4 linked regions of the Arabidopsis thaliana genome follow. The protein of the gene in region 3 interacts with the protein of the main gene of each other region in a pairwise test. Each region holds a gene or a part of one and is shown on either strand. Other genes may lie near its edges. The genes, in order: MGDC, AT5G43520, MYB49 and AT1G10585.

Evidence for each region.
Region 1: the proteins of MYB49 (region 3) and MGDC interact in a two-hybrid assay, tested with the Arabidopsis thaliana proteins (one large-scale study listed by BioGRID).
Region 2: the proteins of MYB49 (region 3) and AT5G43520 interact in a two-hybrid assay, tested with the Arabidopsis thaliana proteins (one large-scale study listed by BioGRID).
Region 4: the proteins of MYB49 (region 3) and AT1G10585 interact in a two-hybrid assay, tested with the Arabidopsis thaliana proteins (one large-scale study listed by BioGRID).

The regions. Positions count from the first base shown.
Region 1 is NC_003071.7:4,740,802-4,748,829, reverse strand, and holds MGDC (monogalactosyldiacylglycerol synthase type C), read right to left. Parts: upstream 5,669-8,028; 5' UTR 5,443-5,668; coding exon 5,125-5,442; intron 4,564-5,124; exon of another isoform or gene 4,508-4,563; coding exon 4,335-4,507; intron 4,240-4,334; coding exon 4,078-4,239; intron 3,257-4,077; coding exon 3,115-3,256; intron 3,024-3,114; coding exon 2,799-3,023; intron 2,715-2,798; coding exon 2,652-2,714; coding exon of another isoform or gene 2,616-2,651; exon of another isoform or gene 2,612-2,615; coding exon of another isoform or gene 2,606-2,611; exon of another isoform or gene 2,586-2,605; coding exon 2,511-2,585; intron 2,437-2,510; coding exon 2,197-2,436; 3' UTR 2,020-2,196; downstream 1-2,019. UniProt on the Arabidopsis thaliana protein: Involved in the synthesis of monogalactosyldiacylglycerol, the major structural component of photosynthetic membranes and in the chloroplast envelope biogenesis.
Region 2 is NC_003076.8:17,484,089-17,489,638, reverse strand, and holds AT5G43520 (Cysteine/Histidine-rich C1 domain family protein), read left to right. Parts: upstream 1-3,329; 5' UTR 3,330-3,447; coding exon 3,448-4,200; 3' UTR 4,201-4,408; downstream 4,409-5,550. Other genes in the region: AT5G43530 (Helicase protein with RING/U-box domain-containing protein), read right to left, coding at 1-312; LURE1.5 (Putative membrane lipoprotein), read right to left, coding at 1,123-1,346, 1,442-1,490; LURE1.4 (Putative membrane lipoprotein), read right to left, coding at 4,838-5,061, 5,157-5,205.
Region 3 is NC_003076.8:22,014,340-22,020,664, reverse strand, and holds MYB49 (myb domain protein 49), read left to right. Parts: upstream 1-2,603; 5' UTR 2,604-2,819; coding exon 2,820-2,952; intron 2,953-3,149; coding exon 3,150-3,279; intron 3,280-3,611; coding exon 3,612-4,308; 3' UTR 4,309-4,522; downstream 4,523-6,325.
Region 4 is NC_003070.9:3,491,837-3,497,777, forward strand, and holds AT1G10585 (basic helix-loop-helix (bHLH) DNA-binding superfamily protein), read right to left. Parts: upstream 3,409-5,941; 5' UTR 3,269-3,408; coding exon 3,131-3,268; intron 2,849-3,130; exon of another isoform or gene 2,820-2,848; coding exon of another isoform or gene 2,778-2,819; coding exon 2,460-2,777; intron 2,369-2,459; coding exon 2,279-2,368; 3' UTR 1,934-2,278; downstream 1-1,933. Other genes in the region: AT1G10580 (Transducin/WD40 repeat-like superfamily protein), read right to left, coding at 115-1,829; AT1G10586 (basic helix-loop-helix (bHLH) DNA-binding superfamily protein), read right to left, coding at 5,295-5,363, 5,502-5,819.

The sequences.
Region 1 (8,028 bases), on a different chromosome or scaffold from region 3:
TAAAAGAAAATTTATTCCTATGAAGTCATTTTTTCCTTTTAAAATTATTTATGTAAGATATATATGTACTAGATAAGACCCGCCTAAAAAGGCGGATGTAAGAAATAAATATAATTTTGTATCATTAATATTTGAATTCTAAATAGTAATAAATATTTTTATTAACATTTAATTTTAAAAAATTTCAAACCAAATTTCAGACTTACACATCCCATATTTTTCTATACACTTTAACTATTTATTTCATATTAATAAACTGCATTTTAATTCTACAAACTACATCTTATCGATGATTTTTGAATTCAAAATAGTATCTTGCTCTCTTTTTCATTTTTAATTTATTATTTTAATTTAAAAAAATTTCCAATCTTACACATTCCATTTGCAATACAATTTAACTATCTATTTAATCATTATAAACTGGATTTTGATTCTACGGACTTCATCTTAATGAATAAATGCTAAAAATATTATATCAAAATAGTGTTATATGATTTTGATTTACGGTTTTGGCGGAAAAACGTCGGTTTACGGTTTTGGGGAGAAAACGTCGGTTTACGGTTTTGGGGAGAAAACGTCGGTTTACGGTTTTGGGGAGAAAACGTCGATTTTCAGGTTTTGGCAAGAAAACGTAGGTTTTCCGGTTTTGACGAGAAATCGCTGGTTTACGGTTTTGGCGGGAAAACATAGGTTTACGGTTTTGGCGGGAAAACATGATTTTCAATTTTGGTGGAAAACACTTTTTGTGATTTCGGCAGGAAAACAATTTTTGTGATTTTGGCGGGAAAACAATTTTTGTGATTTTGGCGGGAAAATGTGGTTACGGTTTTGGTGGGAAAACGTCGGTTTACGGTTTCGGCGGGAAAACATGATTTTCAATTTTGGTGGAAAACACTTTTTGTGATTTTAGTATGAAAACAACTTTTGTGATTTTGGGGGAAAAACGTCGGTTTATGATTTTGACGAGAAAACGTGATTTGAATATTTAAACCAAAAAGTGAAGTTAAGTAGAATAATTTAGTTTTAATGTATTAACACATTAACATTTTTAATAAGGTTTACTAATATAAAATGAAAAAGTAAATGGACTTAATTGGGTACCCATTTATTTGTGTGAAACCCCATTTAATAAATGGGTTTAGTTGGGTTAACTCATTTAATCCTATTTAATTTTTTTCTAAATGAGTTTAAATGGGTCAATTTCTCTTACACAAACCCATTAATTAAATGAGGTTTGCATACCCATATTAACATCACTAGTTATATCATATTGTATCAGAGTTAACAAAAAGAAAAAAACATTATATCTTAGTTAATAATAAATGAGTTAACAAATTACTAAAATAAAAATCCACAAACTAACAAAAAATCTTTACCATTAGTATGACGTTAAATCAACTGTGGTCTTTTTGAAGAGTATTTTGGTTTGGTGAAAAAGTAGGAGACTACCTATTATTTTTATAGATATGAGTATTTTGAATCGTTTTTCTTTTAGGATTAATAATTGATTGTAGTTTCCATAATTATGGTATTTTATATAACAAGATTGTATAATTTCTTAAATCCTTTTTAAATTTTGTAGGAAAAAGTAATCAATTTTGATTAAGAATTAGTAGCTTCAATTAGAATTAGTAAATGATTTTTTAATTTCTATTTTTAATTTAATAAGATACATATATTTTTTTAAAACTTATCATATTTACTTCTCTAAAATGTTTTAGTTTCCTTATACTTATTTTAAAATATATAATTTCTTACAATTGTCTTTTTATAGTCTTAAACTTAATAAAAGAAAATTTTGTTTTACACGTGTTAAAATCTGAGATCGATAAAATTTGCACATAGCATAATCAATTACTAACTTTGAAAACCGTACTTTATATAATAAGTTAGTTTCCTTGTAATTATCTTCTTACATTTTGAAAACTGTTTAAATTTATAATTTACAATTATCTTTTTGTTTTTTAAATTTAATAAAACAAATTTTTTTTATTTATATATGTCAAAATCTGAGATCGATGAAGTTGACACGTGTTACAATCATATGAGTTACTAACATTGAAAACCATATTTTATATAATAAAATACATAAATAAATGTTGAAAAAGACTGATAAAAGAATGACAAACCACTAGAGAATATACATTAATAAGAATCATGAAATAAGAGAAACCTATAGTCTAAACAAACAACACTTCAATAGGAAAATTCATTAAAAAGTGGAATACGTTGTTGTTGTTGGGATAGATGATGGATATCCTTCACAATGTCGAACACGGCTTCAGGTTGCGACAACTTTAGAGCATTCTCTGACATTTTCTTTAATTCCTCTTTATTGTTGCTAAACCAATCCGCCACGATTTTCGCAGTTTCTTTGGGACTTCGGGTGAAAACTCCAGCCCCATTGTCCACAACATACGGCACGTTGCCTTTTTCCTTTGGGAGTCACATACAATAGAGTTAGTTTATGTGGCCGATTAATCCCTAAGGTGAAGCAAAAAAATGTATACCTGTCCAGGAATATAGTCATTGAGGATAATTGGGAGGCCGCAAATCAGTGCTTCCGCAATCGTACCCGGACCAGCCTGTTTTATGTCATAAAATCTTAGTGCTATTTATATGAATGGGTAGGATTCAAAGATATGACTTACCTTAGTGATGATACAATCACAAGCTCCCATCCATTTTTCCATTTGTGTTTCAAACCCTCGAACCTATAAACGTCACAAGTATATATTAGTTACTTGGTATATAAGTATATAGTAGAAGTAAAAAAAAAATTATATTTTAGTTTGTACCTTGACCGGAATCTTCCATTCATGAGATGCTAATGTAGAAGCAAGGACTTTGTTCCGGCCGCATATGACAATCAATTGTCCTATTGGATTACTTTCTTTAGAGTTGTATAAAGAATCTCCAAGGGCTAGAGCTGTTTTTTGAACCGGACCCATTCCTTCACCCCCTCCCATTAATAGAACCGCAGGTAAATTTAAGTCTATTTCAAGTTCCTTCCTTAGTTCATTCTAACAAACACACATAATAATAGCTATTGTTGATCTTCTCTTGATTGGGAAAAAAAAGATCTCTAAATGGTATGAATTGGACAGAATTTACCTTGTTGAGAATAGTGCGAGGGAAAGATGGGCGGACAGGTAAGCCAAAGACACGGATTTGAGAGTCATCAAGGCCGTCTACTAATGCTCTCTTTGCAACCTCTTTGGACGGACAATAACATCTGCTGACTCCATGATGGAACCTATTACATCAAAATCGAAGATTTCATTTTGAGCTATTAGGTTAATTTCAATGTTTTAAACCCTGACCCGGACAGTGAACCGGATTTTCTTCTGGATCACCGATTAATGGGGTTAACCGAATTAGACCACAGGTCAATTGAATAAAATTTATTGAATATATTTAATATTAATAGAGATTATATAAAATAAAACAAAAATAATTATCTTATGTTTAACAAAATATGAAATCAAACAGTAACAATCAAAGTTTTCAATTTAACTAAAAGTCTAAAAGACTAAAACCGTAACAAATATAGTAGGAGATCATTAATGACGAAAATAAATTAATAAACATTGCGAATTAAAACAACTAATCTCGGTTTCAGTCACTTTAGGCGGAATTGTGAAGACTTCACCAAAATATAAAAAAATCAAATGAGTTTAAAAAGTGAATTTTTTTTCTAAAAATAGCTGAATAGAGTCTAAAATGCTATATTTTATTCAAAAATCGAATATATTTTTTAAAACTCACACACGGCCAGTTCAACCGGTTCACTGGGTCGCGGGTTAATGGCGATTTTTTGTGGATTTTTCCGGGTTTAAAATTGTTGGCTATAGTACTAAACCTAAACCGAAAAAGTGTTTGGGTTGCTGATTAACCGTTCGAACCGAACGGTTTGGGTCGGACGTGAAAACACTGGTTAATTTTAAATATTATTGCATATAATCTATATTTTATTAAATGAAAAGTCATGAGAGTAAACATGCAGGATTAATATGCTAACGCGTGGATTAAACTGATTTTAAGTACTTAGTATATATAGAAGTAATGTCATCTTACCATGTACGGTGGCAAGTGTTTAGATCAGTGATGACCGTAACGAAAATAACTTTCTTGTGAAGTCCTTGCCATTTCATTACCCACAATGGTATGTGTTGCATCAGAGGATGCACGCTAATAATAATGTCCGGTTTGTACTCCATTAAACCGGCCTCTATTTCTCTGTTCACCAAAAGAAGAAATAATCTCCATTATATTGCTAATTCGTAACACTAAGGGATGATAACGAAAAAAGAAGAAGGTTAACATATAAGTACTTGGCATAATAAGCGGCAAGAGCACTTAGATAGCTTTTGTGGATCCATTTGGGAGAAGTACCATGAAACGCAACAGACCAAAGACCAACATGTTTCACCATGAACTTGTACTGTCTCTCCATGTCGTTCAATGGCCATCCAGTGTATTCTTTCCAAACATCTTTTATGATTATCTATAGTTATAAAAAAAATGACATTAGTTCCTAGAGAGAATATTGTAACATCAAAGAGTCAGAGCTAGAGAAATAAATAATGCAAATTTTTAATCATTATTGACAAACAAAATAAATGGAACGTGGGACAGGTTTTAAGACATAGATTGTTGACGTCAGCTCGTATCTCCGACACCCTGGCAAACTCCAAGATTCATACTAGGCTACAAAACTTCCAAGTAGATATTTGTTTCTTTTCGTTTTCAAATTCAAGACGACTACTGCGACAACTTTAATATTGACGGCTGAGATTTCATTAGAATCAGAAACTCCTCTATGATATATTATAACATAATCTATTGGAAAATTTTGTCATAATATAAATACATATTATTCGAGGTATATATTTACAAGCTTTGAAATTTTCAAAATGAATATTTCAAAATATTGTTGTTGTTTTACACAGAAACTAAAAGATAAAAGTATGATTAAGTTTTGTTGCTTATGCAATATTTTTTCGTTTTTTTGTACGTTATATATATGGTTAAGGAAGCATATTATTGGCTCAACCCTATGCGTTGGATTCAAGGCAAAGAGAATGAAAATGAAGATATAAATAAAAATATTAATATTTTTACCCGATAGTCATCTCCGAATTCGATCTTGAAAGCGTCGCGGATGGCCTCGGCTGAAGCACGGTGGCCACCGCCGGTATCACTCATGAGAATAAGAACAGTTTTGATCCTCTCTGCTCCCATCTGCTCCATCTCCATAACTTCTTCTTTGTCTTCTAACCCTCTCTTCCTTAGACGACTCTCCTTCTCATAATCACTTGATCTCTGACGATGGATATACTCATCTTCTACTGTTGAGATGTTAAAATTGCTATAGACTCGTCGAAACACCTTCTCAGTGATTGAATCCGACCGTGTACGAGGTGACACCACTTTCATCATGACTATTTGGTGTTGAAGAAAGAATAATAAGAAGACCGATGGTTGTGTTTTCTATGTGGCTGGTTGGTGATCTTTATGTAAAAGATTTTAAGTTCTTTTGGGGTTTTAAATTTTTTGTAGCAAAAAAAATGGAAGACCAAGTTGCTTCTTTTAATAATTGTTTTTAAATTACTTGAGGAATGATGCTGGAATTATTCTTTTTTTTTTTTTTCGGTTCCTATAGTTTTGCTTAGGTATTTATATTTCGTGTCTTTATTGTTTTATGTGGGGCTTAATTTAGTGGTAGAGTAACAAGGGAATATGGCAGCTTGGAGCCGTCGGATCCGCCTTTGGTTTCGGAATCTTCGGATATATGATTCGGATCTTTCTTTGCATCTCAAGTATATTTAAAACAACTTGACTTTTTAAAAATTAAAAAAAAAATATGACATGGATGGTCCTTTTTGTGACATAGGTAAACCGGTTTAGAATCAAAAATTATCTGGTTTGATTAGGTTTAAATCGATTCAGTTAAATTTGAGTCCACTTTTCATATTAATTTAATACTTGATTAATTGATTCAAGTTAGTTTCGATTTTTGTTTAGTTGTTGATATGAATGTTTGTAAACAAAAATAGGTTTCAGTTCAAATGTCTACTTTTGCATCAAATGTACTCATATGGAAAAATTGTCTATTTGTCTACGAGAATTATGACATCATTAGATATTGACCCGCGGTACACAGCGAGTTGATTATTTGCGTTAGAAAGTTAATTGTTGTTTCAATTTAATATAATCTATATATAAATAACTGAGCAATAGTTTTATTTTTTCAACTTACTTGGTATATGTATTTACTTTTATTGATATAGTAGTATGTTTTTTTTACTTGGTTATGTTTAGTTAAGATAACATGTTTATTATACTTATTAGTACATAAAATGTGTATTTTATGATGCATTAGTACGTGTTTTATTATATATTTTTCTCTTTATTACAGAACATTATTAAAATTTTAATTTATTTTAAATTTGATTTTTGGTATATTACTGTAACTATCCTAAAGAAAAGAATGTTGTTTTATATGAAATAGTTGTACATTATGTTTTAAATCTGTGGTTCAATTTTCACAATTTAATTTATTTGGTATAATATAATTTGAAAATCTCATTTTATTTTTTTAGAAGTAGTAAAATCAAGAAAACTTAATACTATATGAAAAATTTATGTGCGATAAACATAATTACAAATATAAATTTAAAAAATAAATATAGTGACATTCAAAGAAATTAAGACTAATGTGGGTATAATAAGTCTATTAACTATTGGGTATTCTAAAACAATATGAAGCGGTATCAGGACATATGATAAATTTTGTAAAATCATCGATTCAGTTCGGGCATAAAGTAGATGAAGCTATAAAGGCAGAAATAAAATCGATCTTGGGTATACATAATATCGGAGGCATGGGTTCCTATCTCGGACTACCTGAGAGTTTAGGGGGATCTAAGACAAAGATCTTTTCCGTTGTTAAAGATCGATTACAGTCGAATAAATGGGTGGTCAACTAAATTCCTATCAAAAGGAGGGAAAAAAGTGATGATTAAATCAGTAGCCGCAACATTACCAACTTATGTGATGTATTGCTTTAGGCTCCCGAAAACAATTACTTCCAAACTAACAAGTGCGGTCGCAGGATTTTGGTGGAGCTCGAATGGTGAATCTAGAGGTATACACTGGATGACTTGGAACAAACTGTGTACTAGTAAATTGGGAAGTGACTAAGGTTTTCGGGATGTAGATGATTTAAACTCTGCATTATTAGCGAAACAGTTATGGCGTCTAGTTTCGTTTCCGGACTCTCTCTTTGCCAAGGTTTTTAAACGAAGATATTTTAGGAAATCCAATCCTCTGGAAAATATAAAATCATACTCTCCGTCTTATGGCTGGAGAAGTATTTGTTCAGTTAGATCTCTGGTTTGTAAAGGACTTATTAAAAAAGTCGGTTCAGGGGCTTCCATCTCCGTTTGGGAGGATTTGTGGATCCCGGCTCAAAACCCGAGACCAGCAAAAAGTAATGGTTTGTGGATGTCGGATCTTGTGCTCGACTCGACCCGCAATTTGTGGGCTTCCAGACAAGGATTGGGCCCGGCCTTAGAGCCCAATGAAAGCCCAGTGGTTCAAAAAGTTGATACGGAATTAATTTAGTAACGGCTGGATATCGACTTGAATGATAAGCATTCAAAGGCCCGAGCTGTTGATCCGCAACGTACGAAGTTAATAGGGGCGAGGTCTGCGGCGTGAAACCAGCTAATCATTTAAGTCATTTGATTCGTTGTATTAGTATAAATAAGAGTCAATTGTCATTTGTAAAGGGGACGAAAACACCTTGTACTGAAACTATACTGAAACTATACTGAAATACACAAATCCGTTTATCATTTGATCATTGTTCGACCGACAAGACTTAAGATCCTCACAAAAACAACCACAAAATTCTAATTGCGGATTCTGGCATCCACAATTTGGCGCTAGAAGGAGGGTAAGTTAAGTCTTTAACTTCAGAGCAACGATCAATTCACCATGAGCAACACCGACGGTCAGAGT
Region 2 (5,550 bases), 4.5 Mb from region 3:
ATCAGGTTCTCCAATCTCTAGATTCTGCTCCCTAAATGAATCAGATTCTACAATCTCTTTGTTCACACAAGTAAAACCATCACTAATTACCTCGTCTTTCGCCGGAAGCGTAACCTCCGAGTTAGATCCATCGGAGTCAACAAGGCTTTGCTCCGCCGGTAGAGCTGAGATTCGGACTCCAGTGGTTGTTCTGATGACTAGAGAGGATTCGTCTATAAAATCGGGAGTATCTGCAACGATCTTACGATCATCGGAACTCGAAACAGCTTCGGATTCGGTTAACCGCATCTCTGCGTCATCAACAATGGCCATTTGGGAAGAAAGGAGGAGAGGGAAGAGAGAGGCGAAAATGGAGGATGAGAGTGGGGGGCGTAGGGGTTTTAAATAGGAATTGGTCTTTTGGGATTCTAGTTTTGGCGCGAATTGAAGTGAATGGGTTTGGTAATAAAATTGGCGGGGTGTTTTTTGGAGCCGAAATTACTGTAAATCTCGCCGTTAATTTACCAAATTTATGTGTAAAATTTTGCCTCTTTGCAGGATATTTAGAGTATTTCCTTTTGCAAACCTTAAAATTAGGTAAGCGAATTTGGTTAATCGATTTTTTTGCTTTTTCAAAAATCTTACCGAAATTATGATAAAAAATTATTTGGTTCGGATATCTGCTATTTTTAAATAAAAATAAAATCTACCAACACCTTTTTCTTTTTTTTTTTTTGTTGAAATTCAGTTAATGTTTTTAGATTTCTGAGTTTTCGGTTAATTCGCTTCAGTTTTCTCAATCCAAAGGACTGGATTCGACCCAAATATTTTATTCGTGTTGCCTTCTTTAATTGCTCCATAGCTTGTATAACATCCAATATTTGATTATTGATTTGTATTTTAGGTTTGGATTCTTTTACTCTAACTGGTCATTACAAATGAGGATCCGCGCCAATTATGTCATCTTCAACATTTTTTTAATTTTTCAATGACTTATGTTTCCAGATAAATTTTATGTTAAGTGCACACTATAAAATTTTTAGATTATTATACATGTTCATTATTGTAAAAAGAAGGGCATGGATGAACATTAAGCAGTAATATAATTTGTTTTTTATTAATGTTTAACAAAATTACAATACCTTATTTAATATCACTAATACTGTAACGACAAAGTTTTCTTTCAAAACTACATGTACGAATATACTTACCCCGTCTCATACAAGCTCTTGCGCAATCAAAACAGTAACCAATTCTCCCAATTTTAAGTTCTTGGTTCAGTGAGCGTGGATCAAAAGGACTTGCTCTTGGACTGAAAGAATATGTTCTCTCTTCATCACTAGATCCATTTATAAGTACTGATGTACCTATCAAATTTTCAAAAGATATATCAAATTCTTAAACAGTTTTTGTAATGATTATAATACTGACACATTATCCTAATTAAATAATTTAAACTTACATGAAGAAACAAAAATTAATAGAGTTAAGAATATAATAGGCAACTTCATTTCTTGGTAGAAATTAACCAATATCACAAAGAAAATATATTAAATATTATTGTGAATCGTTTTTCTTTTGTTTTGCTCTGGAGTATTAAAGCAATATTTAGTCATATTTATAGACTCTGTAGATAAATATGTTATATAAAGAGTTAATTTTCAGTTAAACGTTTTATTTTGTTATAAAGTAAAATTTAGTAACATATTACGTTTGTTTTTGTTTTAAAATTATAATTTTTTAGTTATTAAAATCTGTTATATATTGGTATAAATAGTAATATACATCTAATAAGTGCAAACAATTACATGTTTAAAACTTTAGATTTCAAAAATTACTATTGATGCCCACATTTTATTTAAAATATTTAATTCGAGGAACTAATAAATATATAATATAATTTGATTAAAAATATCAAAAAGTTCTATATTATATATATACTAACTCATGATGCCTATCTTGCTTTTCTAACAAAATCTTAAATCACTTTTGGATTCCTTATTAATACTTATGATCTTAAAGATGACCAAATCAATTAAATTCTTATATGCCTCGAATCAATCCAAACTCTTTCTACATATGTATATCTTTTAGTTATAAATTGCTTAAATTATTTATTAATAAGAAAATCTTTAAATCACCTTATTTCATTTTTTTTTTTGAACAAACACCTTTCAGTTTTTATCTATAGAAACAAATTATTCTTCAAAGTCTTATAAACAAAAGTCTTTTAAGTTGTAACCTGATTATTAATAAGATTTGGTATTAAGTTTTTGAGATTGTTTTACCAAAAAAAAAAGAAAAAAACAAGTTTTTGAGATTTAAACGAAAAAAACCCCTCAAGTATCGATAAATCCATTTTAAAGCCCTCAGCTATATTATTAATGAAAAAACCCTTAACTAAGAGATTTAAGTGACAAAAACCCTTAAGTATTAATCAATTTTTTTTACTTTTTGTGCAGCATCTTCAATATCTAAATTAGTAATAAATGATGATAAACTTGGAGACTCTTGTATAACGAAATCAGAAAAAGAATTTTTCGACTTTTAAAGATATATACCTGAAACTGCATAGATTTGAAACTTTTCTAACGGGGATGACACTATCTTTAAACCGTCAAAGTTTTTAATAATATTCCAATACATGATCAAATTTCCAACCATATTTGAAATTTAGATCTTGCATATATATTAGCATTTCTTAATTTCCCTTGATTGAACTGGATACAGTTTTAAGAAAAATATAAATAAATAATGATGCTTGCATGTAGTTTATATAGAATACTCACTACATCATCACTTGAAGCACCACTTGAATGTTTATATTCACATTATTTGATCTATGCATGTTGTTTTCTTGTTGCTTTCTTTTTTTTGGTAGGGAATTGATCTGTACAGAAGTTTTCGTTTGTTTTAAGACTTAAAACTATGGTTAACCAATTAACCTTTTTTTTTGGTGAGAAGAGGGGAGACAACCGACAATATATTACTCAAAACTATATTAAACCAATTAACCTTATCAAATGGAAGTTGCACAAGATAAATTAGATAATAATTAGCATAGACTTAGAGACGTTGACCTCATTAAACCTTATCCTCTCTACACACACACATATATATATTATGCGGATATGCCCTAGTTGCTATAAAACTCGGATGTTAATTAGAATATTTATTTCTACAAGTTATCTTAATCTTAGAATAATAAACACCAAAGCGCGTCTAAATACTTTTATTTCCTAAACTTTGAATCCCAAATGTCAAAGTCTCCTATACAGATGTCAAACCTTATAATTAGCGAAATAGCATAATACAATGACAACTTGATTAATATAATCAATAAAACGAAACGCATACTCATTAAACCTACAATTATAATGAAGTCCTCTTGCAGTTTTTGGTATATAAAGTTCCACACCCTTCTCCCTCAAAACAACCAAAACCAAACACAAATCAATAACATACTAAATGGCTTCAAGAAAACCAAAGGCCAAACCGGTTAATCGCCAATCTGTGAGGCACCCAAGTCACAACCATCCGCTGCGTGTCTTTAAAGCCAAAGAAGAGGATGAGACCGCATGCTCTGGCTGCGAGCTAGAGCTGACCGGGCAAGCTTTCAAATGTATAAAGTCAGAGTGCGATTACTTCTTACACAAGTCATGTTTCGACCTTCCTAGTGAGACCAATAACAAGTCTCACCAGGACCACCCTCTGACCTTGCTTCATTCCCCACCAGATGATCGGTCTGTCTACACGTGTGACGCGTGTGACCAATACGGATCTGGATTTTCTTACCATTGCTCAAACTGCAACTACAGTCTTCATGTGGGATGTGCGTTTATCCCTGAAACCGTAGATCGTGAAGATCATGAACATCCACTCACTCTTCTTTATTGCACACCGTGTAAAGGACGTGAAGACACGTACTTCACTTGCAGCGCTTGTGATGAAACTATTTCAGAAGATCTATGGATGTATTACTGTAAGGATTGTGACTATGGAACACATCTACACTCATGTGCGGCATATGAAGACCAAGGGAAAGAAGAAGAAGATGAAGACGAAGAAGGAGAAGCGAGTTCTCCAGCTTCTAGGATAAAGTCGTTGATGAAGGCGCAAGACGAGATGGCGGCTATGCAGCTAGAGGCACGTATTGAGAATGATGCGAGGAATGCTGCACTTGATCTGTGGGATGAACCAAAACGTAGATACTATTGGTGATCAAGAAGGGACGAATATATTTATGAATATTGATATTTTTCTTTGCGAAATATGGTTTCCAAAAATAAAGAAACAATAGATATATTACTCTTTCTTGTTTGGTTCTTGTTTATTTGTGTGGATTTAATCATAAACACTCGTGTGTAAGTTGTTTATTTTGCAATATGAAGAAGAAGAAAAAATTTAAGTTGATTTGAAGATTTGTTTTCTTTCATTTTCTCTATCGTAACTCGGAAGAGGTTTAGGTAAATATGTAACATAATCAAACATATTGGAACCTTATTTATCTAGAGATGTGACGGTGATTAAAAACTTTGACCCTTTAAAAAACTTTCAAACCCGTATTTTATATAATAAAATAGATTTACAGTATAGATGAGCAAAATAAATTTGTTTAAATGTAAAATGTTTAGAAAAAAACTAACAGTTTCCTTGATTATAATGAATAAGTTTAATTTTTCAAAAATATTTTTTTATTTGTCAAGGACTTATGTTTCCCAATAAATTTCATGTTTAATGCACACTACAAAACTGTTAGATTATTATACATGTTCATTATTGTAAAAAGAAGGACATGGATGAACATTAAACAGCAATATTTTTTATTATTATTAATGTTTAACAAAGTTACAATGCCTTATTTAATATCACTAATACTGCAACGACAAAGTTTTCTTTCAAAACTACATGTACGAATATACTTACCCCGTCTCATACAAGCTCTTGCGCAATCAAAACAGTAACCAATTCTCCCAATTTTAAGTTCTTGGTTCAGTGAGCGTGGATCAAAAGGACTTGTTGTTGGACTGAAAGAATATATTCTCTGTTCATCACTAGATTCATTTATAAGTATTGATGTACCTATCAAATTTTCAAAAGATATATCAAATTTTTAAACAGTTTTTGTAATGATTATAATACTGACACATTATCCTAATTAAATAATTTAGACTTACATGAAGAAACAAAAATTAATAGAGTTAAGAATATAGAAGGACACTTCATTTTTTGGTAGAAATTAACCAATATCACAAAAAAAAATATGAAATGTTTTTGTGAATCGTTTTGGATTTCGTTTTTATTTTGTTTTGCTGTGGATTATTTAAACAATATTTAGTCATATTTATAGACTCAGTAGATAAATATGTTATAAAAGAGTTAATTTCATTTAAACGTTTTATTTTGTTATAAAGGAAAGTTCAGTAACTTATTTCGTTTGTTTTTATGTTTAAATTATAATTATTTAGTTATTAAAATATCTTATATATTGGTATAAATAATAATATATATCTAATAAGTGCATACAATTACCGGTTTAAAACTTTAGATTTTAAAAATTACTATTGATAC
Region 3 (6,325 bases):
ACTAATAGTTTTTGCTAAGGTATTCGTATTATGAGGTTAAACTAAAATAAAGATGATGTTACTGATTTTTTTTTTTTAATTAATCCTAACTTTGATTTTAAGATAAGTTAAAAAATATGCTATATATCCGAATATGAGAAAAATCCAAGAGAATAATTAGTTTACTATGCTGCTGGCAATTTTTTTTTAGTTTACTATGTTGCTAGTGCTTGCTACCACACTTGTACGTGTTCAAGGCGTCGTGGATATATTATACACCATGAAATCTAAGGTTAGGTGTTTTTTGCTAAATCGTTACGTCATTGTTTCTTAAAAATAAGAATTAAAGGTTAAGTTACGTCTGTTTATTTTGTGTGTGTTTGTTTATAATTTGTTTATATAAAAGAAATTGGAAAGATAAATGAGCAAGGTGATTTCGATCATTAGTTTCAGTCCATGTCTTTGTCTCTATGGTCGGCCATCGGCCTTAGAGGCGTGAAAGTCTTAAACAATAATAGAACTTCATTCGGAAAAAAGAAAAAATAACCCTTAATATTTAAATGTAATTTAGATCATACAGTATAAATAACTTCTTATACCAAACTAAAATGAAGATGGTAGCTGATTAACGAATTTACATGCGGAAGACTTAAATAATCGATAGATTAGTTTATGAAAAGACTTGCATAATCGATAGATTAGTTTATGAAAAGACTTACATAATCGATAGATTAGTTTATGAAAAGACTTGCATAATTGGTAGATGCAAAGTTATAAGAAAACTGATAAATCTGAAACGAGGCTTGAGTTCATCAAAATTTCCTGTGACAGCGATTATTTTAATGTTACTAAGACGATTGGGTTGTTGGGATTGTTGTAGATAAACCAGGCAATAACATAATCTACCAATAACAATGTATTGTATTTCCTTTTAGTTGAGAAATTAAATATTTGACCACATTATCTGAATTTTCTTGTCGTCTTAATAACTAATTATCATTATTCATTTTTGGCAGGATCTTTTTTTCTTTGTTAAAGGGTCTACTTTTTTTTTTGATAAAGCAGTCTTTTATTTTTAAAACATGCATCACAAAATTTACCTTCATGAATCAATTCCCTGTGAGACAATGATATGATTTAAAGTTTACATGTAAAATATTCTATACCGTGGAAAAACACTCATTTCATTGTTATATAACGAAAAATATGAATTATATGGACGCAAAATAACTATTTACTAGATATATCGATGTTATAGAAATAATATTATATTAAAAAAAACGATATATACGGTTTAGTGTTAGTGTAAGTTTATATTTTTGGCACTTGTTGAAAACGTTATGATAACTTGTTTATTATCAACCTAACATGTTTTATACGGCTATACCGCATAAAGTGTAGAATTAATTTTACCTCTTTATATGACACAATAATATTTAACATGTAACAAGAGCAAGGGGTTACTTGTCAAATACGCCTATGCACTAAACAATGATAAATTGGTCATTCTCCTAATTTAAAAAGTCACTTTATCATTCTTCTCTAATACCAAACCTTTCTATATAATCACTCTTAAACCGGCCGATAACTTGTTTTCCAAATAATCTAAAACTTATACTAACCAAATTTAACTAAAATAGTAATAATTTCTTACAAATATCAAATCAAAAAATTTCAAATCCCTGACTTGTCAAATCAACCATGTTTCGGACTGAGACCAAAGTCTCTGCAATTCAATGACACATGTATATTATATAGTATTGTTTCATTAATCACACATGTATTTTGACCGTTAACATGCCTTGTTCTTTACGTATGTTGCACTGCAACAACGCTTTGTCGTTAATTTACCTAACTTAGTAAAAACAAAATACATGTCTTAGATTATCAGTTATTCAAACTTGTCGTTATGTAATTGTTATTGAAGTAAACAGAAACTCTGGTGCGATGCAGGACGTTACTCAAACTGAGTCACTTCGATCGGATGTCTTAATTCAAGCAGGACAATCTAGCTTTGCTACTGAAATTTGATGACACGATGATATATATCTATTTCCAACCGATGAAGCACACTGGAGATCCGTTTGGATTTTTATTGTTTTTACTTTTTTACACTATCGTAATCATTCTTTACATATTTCCTTTTTATTTTCTCCTTAGAAGAGAAATTATTTGTATACAAAACTTAGAAGGCTAAATAAGCATATTTATTCAGTATAATCACTGTAACCACACCTTATTCAATAAAATTCTTATTTTGAATCTGTCTATTTATGTATATGATATTGCTATAGTGATGACAGATGAGTAAACATTAAACATACACGCAACATAGCTATCTTGAAAACTGTTTGATGATTTGAGACAAAGAGACCAAAACAAATGGAACCTTCTTCACATATCTATCACACGTCCTCATACACCACCCATATTCTGCCATGTGTTCTCACTCCATCAATATTAATTATTTTTAGGGTTAATAGAGATGGTTTAGTCTCATGCTTTTTGTTTATTACTTTTTTTCTTTGGTCAGAGCTTTTTGTTTGTTAGTAAGGACTTTAAAGATAGAGAGTAAAAATTACTCTTTTGTTTTGTCAACATAATAAGCAGTTTTTTTCTACTTCATTTTGTCTCCGTATTTCATCAAGAAAAGACACGTATTTAGATAGATGATGGAAGGGCGGTACCAAATCTCCTTGACTTGACTTTGCATGTACCATATATATATTTGTATATACATAAATCATAATTCATGAAGAAACCAAATTTTCTCTGTAATCAAGTTCTCAAAGCTTATTAGCTTCTCTCTCTAGTTCTCTCACATATAACATTTGAAAAAGATGGGAAAATCTTCAAGCTCGGAGGAAAGTGAAGTGAAGAAAGGGCCATGGACTCCGGAGGAAGACGAGAAGCTCGTAGGCTATATTCAAACGCACGGTCCCGGCAAATGGCGTACCCTTCCCAAGAACGCCGGTAAATTCCTACCCTAACGCATGTATATATACAAATAGCTAAATCCTATCAGCTACAATATGTTTTCCTGCGTTTTGTTTTACGTTTATGTTTAAAATTTACTAATAATGATTATCATGCTAGATCATGTCAACGTTAGAATTAAAATTAAAACAATCATGGTTCTTATTCGTTTTTCTTGGTGTGAATCTTAAAAGGGTTAAAAAGATGCGGGAAGAGTTGTAGATTGCGATGGACGAATTATCTAAGACCCGATATCAAGAGAGGAGAGTTCTCTCTTCAAGAGGAAGAAACCATCATTCAACTTCATCGTCTTCTTGGAAACAAGTTAGTCTATCTGCAATTTTTCATTTCTTCATTTAGTGTATAATTGTTTACATGTATGATTAAATTAAGTAAAAAATGACCTAGTTTTCCACTACTACACCTACTTCATTGGACTTCCATGTCTTTACATTTTTGTTATAATATTACTTGCATATTTTATTTTATTCAACTAAAAGACAAGAACATAGTTAAGCACTATACCAAGGTCAAATGTCTAAAGCTAAGCATGCAATCTTCAACTCGCTGCAGCTAATATCTTAACAAGTTAAAACTTATACTTCTCTTTTTGATTTTAACTTAAAATCTATAACACGATATTTTTTCTTCTATAGATGGTCCGCAATTGCTATTCACTTACCAGGAAGAACAGATAATGAAATCAAAAACTATTGGAACACACATATTAAAAAGAAACTCTTACGAATGGGGATTGATCCGGTGACTCATTGTCCCCGCATTAATCTTCTCCAGCTCTCTTCGTTTCTTACCTCATCATTGTTTAAATCTATGTCACAACCGATGAATACTCCATTTGATCTCACTACTTCAAATATTAATCCTGATATCTTGAATCATCTCACTGCCTCTCTCAACAACGTTCAGACCGAATCATACCAACCAAACCAACAGCTTCAAAACGACCTAAACACTGACCAAACCACTTTCACCGGTTTGCTCAACTCAACACCACCCGTTCAATGGCAAAACAATGGAGAATACTTGGGAGATTATCACAGTTATACCGGTACAGGTGATCCATCTAATAACAAAGTCCCTCAAGCCGGAAACTACTCATCAGCCGCATTTGTATCCGACCACATTAATGATGGTGAGAATTTTAAGGCCGGATGGAATTTCAGTTCATCAATGCTAGCGGGAACTTCATCGAGCAGCTCGACACCGTTGAATTCGTCTTCGACTTTTTATGTCAATGGTGGAAGCGAAGATGATAGAGAGAGTTTTGGTAGCGACATGTTGATGTTTCATCATCATCATGATCATAATAATAATGCTTTGAATCTATCATAATGTCTTATTTATTTTGCTTCTTGATCTTATTTGTTTTATTTTTACTTTTTTTTAATGGGGGTTTGTAATTGTGTTACATACTTTGTAATATAAGAGCTTAGTCTATTATTATGTTGACTCTTTTTTTTTTTTTTGTTCTACTTTTTTTGATCCGAAAAGGTTTCTATTTGTTTACACTTAAAAAAGTTATAAAACCTAAGAGGATAACAGCTAGTGTACCTTTATCTTGACTTTGTTCTTCTACTAATTGTTTTTTCTGCTTCGAAGAACTTTACATTAGTCGACTCTCAAAAGGTCATAAGATGGTTGATAAGTGTGTTACGTACATACTTAGTATTTTAAGAGTTAAGTGTATTCTTAATCTTGGATTTCTTGTGCATTTTCTTCCACTAATTGTTCTTATTTTCCAATTCGAAGAACTTTCCATTCGTTATACCTAAAAGGTCTTCAACTTGTACGAAAATTTTCTGGTGTTATAGTTTTATTATTCTATTTGCACCATCTTGATTTTGATGATTAAGAACACATTTGGTGGAGCAGGAGACAATAGTGATTATATTTAATTGGTCATAGACTCATAAAGGGGAGTTTTCAATTTCATAATACAAGAAAAAAGAAATAATCGACTTGTTTTCCCTTATGATTGGTTTGAAATCAGCACAAATAAATAGTAATACACCTAAAAGGAAGATTTAAATAGTTATCCACTATGAGAAAATGTGTATGAAAGATTAAAATAGAAAATATATAGTCAACGTTGTTCGAAACACCAAACCCAAGTTATAAAACTGTTCATACAGTGAGATGAGATATATCAAAAATAGCTACTATCAACTATAACATAAATTAAGTAGTAGCTAGATGCTACTTTGAAATTCTGTAATTGACTGAATGACACTTATGTATGTGTATAGAGACATACACATCATAGTATTTTATAAATATGTGGTCCATTCTAGTCTCTTGGATTATTGGAAAAAAAAATACATACGCCTAACCATTCATTGAACCTTGCGGCCATAAAAATACAATAAAATCATGCAATGATATGAAATAAATAAATTATATACTTGTACTTATAGATATTGTATGAGAAAAAATGTGTATATTACTGGGGAGAGAATTTATAAGTAATAATTAGTTAGTTTTTACAACAACAATTTTGGAAAACAAAGAGAATTCCATAGGGAACACAAGAACCTCCTTTGTATTTCTTCATCACACAAATCTCTCTGCACGCTATTAAGTCTATTTGTAGTTACATGACATGGTCGTTTGGCCATACGAGTCATAACTAATTAACTATTAACTCATAGTTATTTCCATTATTTTCGTTTTTTTTTTAACTATACAAGCCAATTGACCATTATTGTGTAGTCTTTGGCAATGTAGTAACCTGCCCACATTTCAAAGGAAGATAAAAAAATCTTGATTTCTTTCTATCCTAAGTTTGACTTCAACAAGTTGTGTTATTATATATAATAGAATTTGGATATGGGTCTGCGTTTGTCGATCCAAATGACAAGACTAGATAATAAATCTCAAACACAACAATTTTGTTTCTTACAACAGGTTTAAACTGAGCTGGGCCTTAAGTTTCTCAAATTCGCAAAGCCAATCAGCTACGTTATATCGCATATGCATGATGAAATGCCTTTGTAGCACGATTGTAATCGAATCTACGAGGAGTAACTTGTTACACACCAAAGATACAAAACAAAGTAAACTAAGATAAAACTAACAAATTGCATGAAAAACAAAAACAAATTGCATGAACCATGAAGCAACTTGTTATAACATCCCAAACTTCATAGAAACGCAAATCACTTCTAAATTGACCGGACTCGCGAGCCGTGCCAAGGTCATCGAGATCCACTTCCTATCGCTAGAAGCGTGTTATCAGATTCAAAATATATCAACATAAATACATAATCAATAAAATGTGCTAATCTCATTAGATCAAATCTTATATTATTATTCAACTAGTAAAAAACATATCAATATTATTATCGTTCAA
Region 4 (5,941 bases), on a different chromosome or scaffold from region 3:
CTACAATTATATATACCAATAATAACTATTATGCAGCTGTTACGTAAAGGCACACACCACACATCATGACAAGAGAAACAAATAAACAAAATAGTCTGGAAGAAGGTTACATACCAGTACTTAATCAAGCCGTCCCAACCACAAGTTGCGACTTTACTCTGTTCCAGAGGATGCCACTCGGCTCCAATGCATACTCCATTGTGACATTTAAGAGTCCTAAACACTTTGCAGCTCTTCCAGTCCCAAAACCAGCACTTACCCTCACCATCTCCTGACATTACAAACCGTCCATCTGGCGAGAAGTTAACTTGGCATGCATAACCGGCAACAATGTGCCCTGCAAACCTCTTCTTTTTATTCAGCTGAAACCTTTCTCGGGTACTGTAGATCAGAATCTGGTTATCCAAACTCTGTGCAGCAAGCCAGTTTCCATTCGGGTGAACAGAAATGGAAGGCATAGAATGCATATGAGGCTCACTGATATACTTGATAACCACCGGGATCCCAAATTCCCAAACACGGAGAGACTTATCATCGCTCGACGTGACAAATCTTCTGTTATTGTCCACAAATGTGATAGTATTAACTGCCCCCAAGTGCTGATCATACTCTTGCGTAACCTCCCCCGTATTAATATCCCACTGCACAATCTTCTTATCACTCATACCAGCCAACAAAATGTTCTGCTTGTCATCATCCGGATTCAGCTTAACCACATACGGAATCTTCCCAGTGGAGAAAGTCGATATAACTTGGCCAGTTTCCGTGTCCCAATACTTAATGTTCTTATCATACCCAGCAGTCAAGAATTTAGACCCATCATTGGAGAAGCAAATATCCCTCACAGCTTTGGCGTGACCCATGTAAGTCCTCATACATTTACCAGAGTTATACACATCCCAAATCTTAACCTTACAATCCATACCTGCAGAGAGAAGCAAATGTCCTTGCTTTGGGAAGAACCTAATAGCGGAAACACCTTTCGTGTGCCCACTCCATGTATGAACCAAACGTTTTGGAATGTAGCAATGATCATTGTTCGCCTTAGCATCTTTAGGAGCCTCAATCCAAGACCTTCCTTGATAATCTTTCTCCTCTTTGCCATGGAAGGTACTCTTATCCGCATAATGCTCTCCTTTGGTTTCACCTTGTTGTCCCTTCTCCTCCTTCTTCTTGGCATGATCCTCCGCATACTTCTTCTGCTCCTCCGTCAACTCTCCCTGAACCACCTCCTTCTTCCTCGACCACGGACTCTTCCTATTCTTCCTAAGCCAAGCTTCCGTCTCCGGATTCTCAGCTTCCGGCTCAATCTCTTCCTTTTTCTCTTCCCCTTCCCTCTCCTCTTTGCTCCTCTCAATCTTCCTCCGCTTCTGCTCACTCTGAGGAATATTAAAAACCGAAAGACCATCGTTCTTCTTAAACGCCTCAACATCGCCGACGTAGTTCATCCCAGACGGATCCGCCGCGTAACCGCACTTATGAAACGTATGGTACTGCTCTTCAAACCCAAACGATCCAATCGAAGCATCTTCCACAGAACCTAGCTTATGATTCCGCATCCCTTGAGCGATCCCGTCTTTCGCATACGGATGCGCGGGGCCGAACATCGGAGCCCACAGCTGATCATGGGTAGGGTTATAAAAGACGACGTGTTGAGTCGGGTCAATCGGCTTCGATTTCGATTGATTCACGTTAGCCACCGTGAGAGCTAGTGCCGTATCGTCTACCTCCGGCGCCGATGATTTCGCCTTTAACATACGAGGCGGTGAAGATTCCGGCGAGGAAGCAACGGCTTCGTCTTCTTCTTCGTAGGATTGAATCAGATCCATCTCTCACGATTTTGCTCTCTTACCACAAGTGTTTGAGAAACTTTATACTGAGATTTTGCCTCTTTTCTCTTCGACAAGGGTTTCAAAATTCCTAAATCTAAAATAAGGGTTGCAATTTGTGCGATATTTAGATTTTCAAATATAGCCTCTTACTATTTTTTTCTTTTCACATTTACCCCAATAGTGTATTTTATTGACATTTACATCCCACTGTCTTACTCGGTGGTTAAAATTATGCAAATCTGGACCAATCTAAAATCACGCCAAGCCAAACTGAATTAAACCGGGATGAATAAAAACGAAACGACAACGTTTTAAGGTTTCTTATGTTGACGGTCAACATATTTATCATAATCGAACTCAAAAGCAATTACTCATCTCATATTTAAAGAACTAACACATGTGTGAAAAAACACACTAGCGTTAGCGTAGACTTATCATTTGGGATTTCATGCTTCAAAATATATATATCCATAGATGATTTTCCGTACTCTCTCTTCTATCCTTGATGGATCAATGCCAATCCGACTAATGATAGCCTGCAAATATATGTAATAAAAATTTATACGAAAGACATGACACATGCATATACGTGTGTATTATACAAACATATGCGTGTGGATGTGGTACCTGGGCTATGATTGTGTAAGTGGTCCTATCATTCAAGTTCTGAAGATTAGCACTCATTACTTGAGCTCCTTCTTCTTCAAAAATACTCACAAGCTCGTGTAACATTACTCTTTTCATGTTTAGATCCATGATCAGATTCATTTCTATGGTCGAATCCCGCGAACGAATACTGAGTTTGGGTAGAAGAAACGACCCTTCGTAGAGATTCCCGAGTTCTCCTTGTAACAATGTCCTTTTCTTCTCTTTCAAATAATTTACATTCTCTTTCAATTGGATCATGTATGATGTCGCTTGATCTATAAGGTGAGGCACTGGTAACTGTTTAGATCCCAAAAAAAACCCCAAGATAATTACTTTCATTAATCTTTTACATGAATGTGGTTATATTCAATATATATAAATAAACCGTAAAAACCCTAGCTACGTGAATCATTTATTTGTCAATTAGACACCGTACTTAAAAGAGAGCTAATATGGACGGTCATAGAGGGACAACTGCCTATTCAATTAATCAAAATATTATCTCTTTAGAATAAAACGTACATCTTACAGTAATTATGTAGATAATGTTTGTATTGTTGTATATACGCATAAAACACATCTACAATTTAATATAAGATATATATAGAGAGAGAAAGAGAGAGAGGGAGAGTTAGAGAGAAAAAACGGACCTTGCGAGTGGGAGAAACATGAGAAGAAAGTATAGAGAAGAGATGTTTCATGCGCATCCTTCGATCCTTCTCTCTGAGGTTTCGTTGTTCCCTTAACGACGATGAGTTTCCTTCTCCTATTTCTCTTGCTCTCCCCATTCTTTTTGTTTTCTTTTAAGCTTTTATGTACAAGTTTCTCTTTTCAAATCCATCTCTCTTTATATACAGTTAAAGAGATAGAGAGGGCCGGGAGATACAGAGTCACAAATCTCAACTTTGAGAGAAAGAGCTACGTGATTTAGATGAAAGGGATGTTTTGGAAGAAAGTCATGGCTTTTGTGATTGCGTCCGTGAGCTTACACACTAAATTAATAAGATGCATGCATCTTTCCTACCAAGTAAATTTTACTATTTACTTCGGAATTTCCACGTTCTTAAAGATACAAAAGTTTCAAAACAATTAGATATGTTGTTTATCATTAAAAAAAAAATTAGATTTGTTGGTGGGTTGACACATTACTAGGACGCATCATAATTTCGATGTAAGATTTCTAACGTTCAAAGACATAGTTTAGATAGCATCATGCTTACCGTGTGAGATGAGATTCCTAACGTTCAGAGATATGATTCTTCTTCTTTCAGATTACTAACCATGAGTTTAAGTCCTGTGATTTACAGTAGGTTTGGAGAAAATTATTATCAAAAATCATTTCAATGGCGTAAAATAGTCAACAGCCACGGTAGACAAAAATGAATTCCTTACAACAGTACTATATATGTTTCTATCAACAAATAGAAAAGGAAAATTGTTTTGTATACTGATAGAATCGGGACCACTAAATCAAATAGTATCATCATGTTCAATTAATTTGGTGCACGTATTCATTATCCGAGGAAAGTATCATAAGGCGCCATAACCTAAGATTATTCAACAAGCTATCATTATCATAGAAGAAAAGGACACAACACATTCGGCATTCCTTACATAAATTATTAAAGGCCCTCAACTCTCTTTGGCCGTATGGCCGACATCGTTCACCGGATAGGGGATCTACATGGACCGATCGTCTAAACGTTCACCGGAGGTGAATACAAAGACAGAAAATTAAACATGCCTAGTTTTGTTGAGTCTTGGAGTACTCCAGGTAGATGTTGGTCATAACTTTGCCACTGAGCAAACTGACATAAAAAGTAAAAGGAGCCGCAATATGATACTAACACTGTGTATATATCGTCTCGCTGCTTGACCACTTGCTTAGAAACTGAGTAAGGGACAATTATATCCTTATTGCATTTTCCACATGTTATTCTTTTTTTCCTTCTTCAAATATTTGAATTCGTACAAGAAGAGAATAGTCATTTGGTAACTATCATAATTCATAGCCATTGAAAATCCGTGACTAGAAATACAGATTAGCCCAATTTTAAAATGTTAAGCCTATAATTACTTGTAACTAATTCTGTGGCTAGAAAAGGATGATTACTTATAGTTAGAAAATTTGTAGCGAAATTTTTGTTATCGATCTATATATACTGTCCAATTTATATAAGACATTTAGAAAAAAAGATTTGTTTACTAGTTATGTCGTGTATATATACATGTTTTTTAAGTTTTAGTTAACTATATTCACATACAAAATCTAACCATGTGTGATTTTAGGAGAAAACAAAGATGAATGTCCTTGCTATCGCAATATGAAAAACTCCAAAAGTGGATCCAAATGCCTATGCCCTTGAACATGTTTTGAAGATAGTCATCAGATGCATAACATCTATCTATTCTATGTATGCAAATATCAATTACGACTATTTTAGACGGCGCCTGTAATAAAATATTTGAGCTTAAAATGCTCAATGAAAGAAAATTTGAGAGTTCTTGACAATAAAAGTAGATAATATATTTTATATTTAAACATGAGATTCTATAAACGTAATAGAGATTAGGCATAGAAAGAAAAGAGAAAATAAAGAGATTTTGAAGATGATGTGAGAGGCTTTTTCGTTCATATACTTGAGGAAATGGTATTCAGACATTTGATCATTCTCTTTAACTTAAACAACAATAGGGCTATTACACCAATTCACTCTTAAAAATACTCATAATCTCATGTTTAAAGAACTAACACATTTAATTTGTTAAGAAAAGACTTGTGATTTGGGATTCAATAATGCTTCAAAAAATTAATCATGAGATTATATCCCTTAATCTCTCTTCTATCCTTGATGGATCAATCCCGATCCGACATATGATAGCCTGCAAATATTCATTTAGGTGATTATTAATTTATCATATATATATAGTCCTTCAAAAAAAGTTCAAACTATATTTTAATGATATGGAACAAAGAGATGCTGCTAAAAAAAAAAAAAAAAACATGACACATGCATGTACCTGGGCTATGATTGTATAAAAGGTCCTATCATTCAAGTTCTGAAGATTAGCACTCATCACTTGAGCTCCTTCTTCTTCAAAAACACTCACAAGCTTGTGTAACATTACTCCTTTCATGTTTAGATCCATAACCAGATTCATTTCTATGATCGAATCCAGTGAACGAATACTGAGTTTTGGCAGAAGAGACGACCCTTCAGAGCGATTTTTGACTTCTCCTCCTAACATTCTCCTTTTCATCTCATTCAAATAGTTTACCTTCTCTTTCAGTTGGATCATGTATGATACCGCTTGATCTATAAGTTGAGGCACTGGCAACTGTTGGTGCCAATAAAAACACACAACCTAGTTACTTCCATGTCTTTTGTATGAATTTGGTTATAATCGTTATATGTATTAACTAAAATGTAATATACTAGATTTTAACCCGCGGTACACCG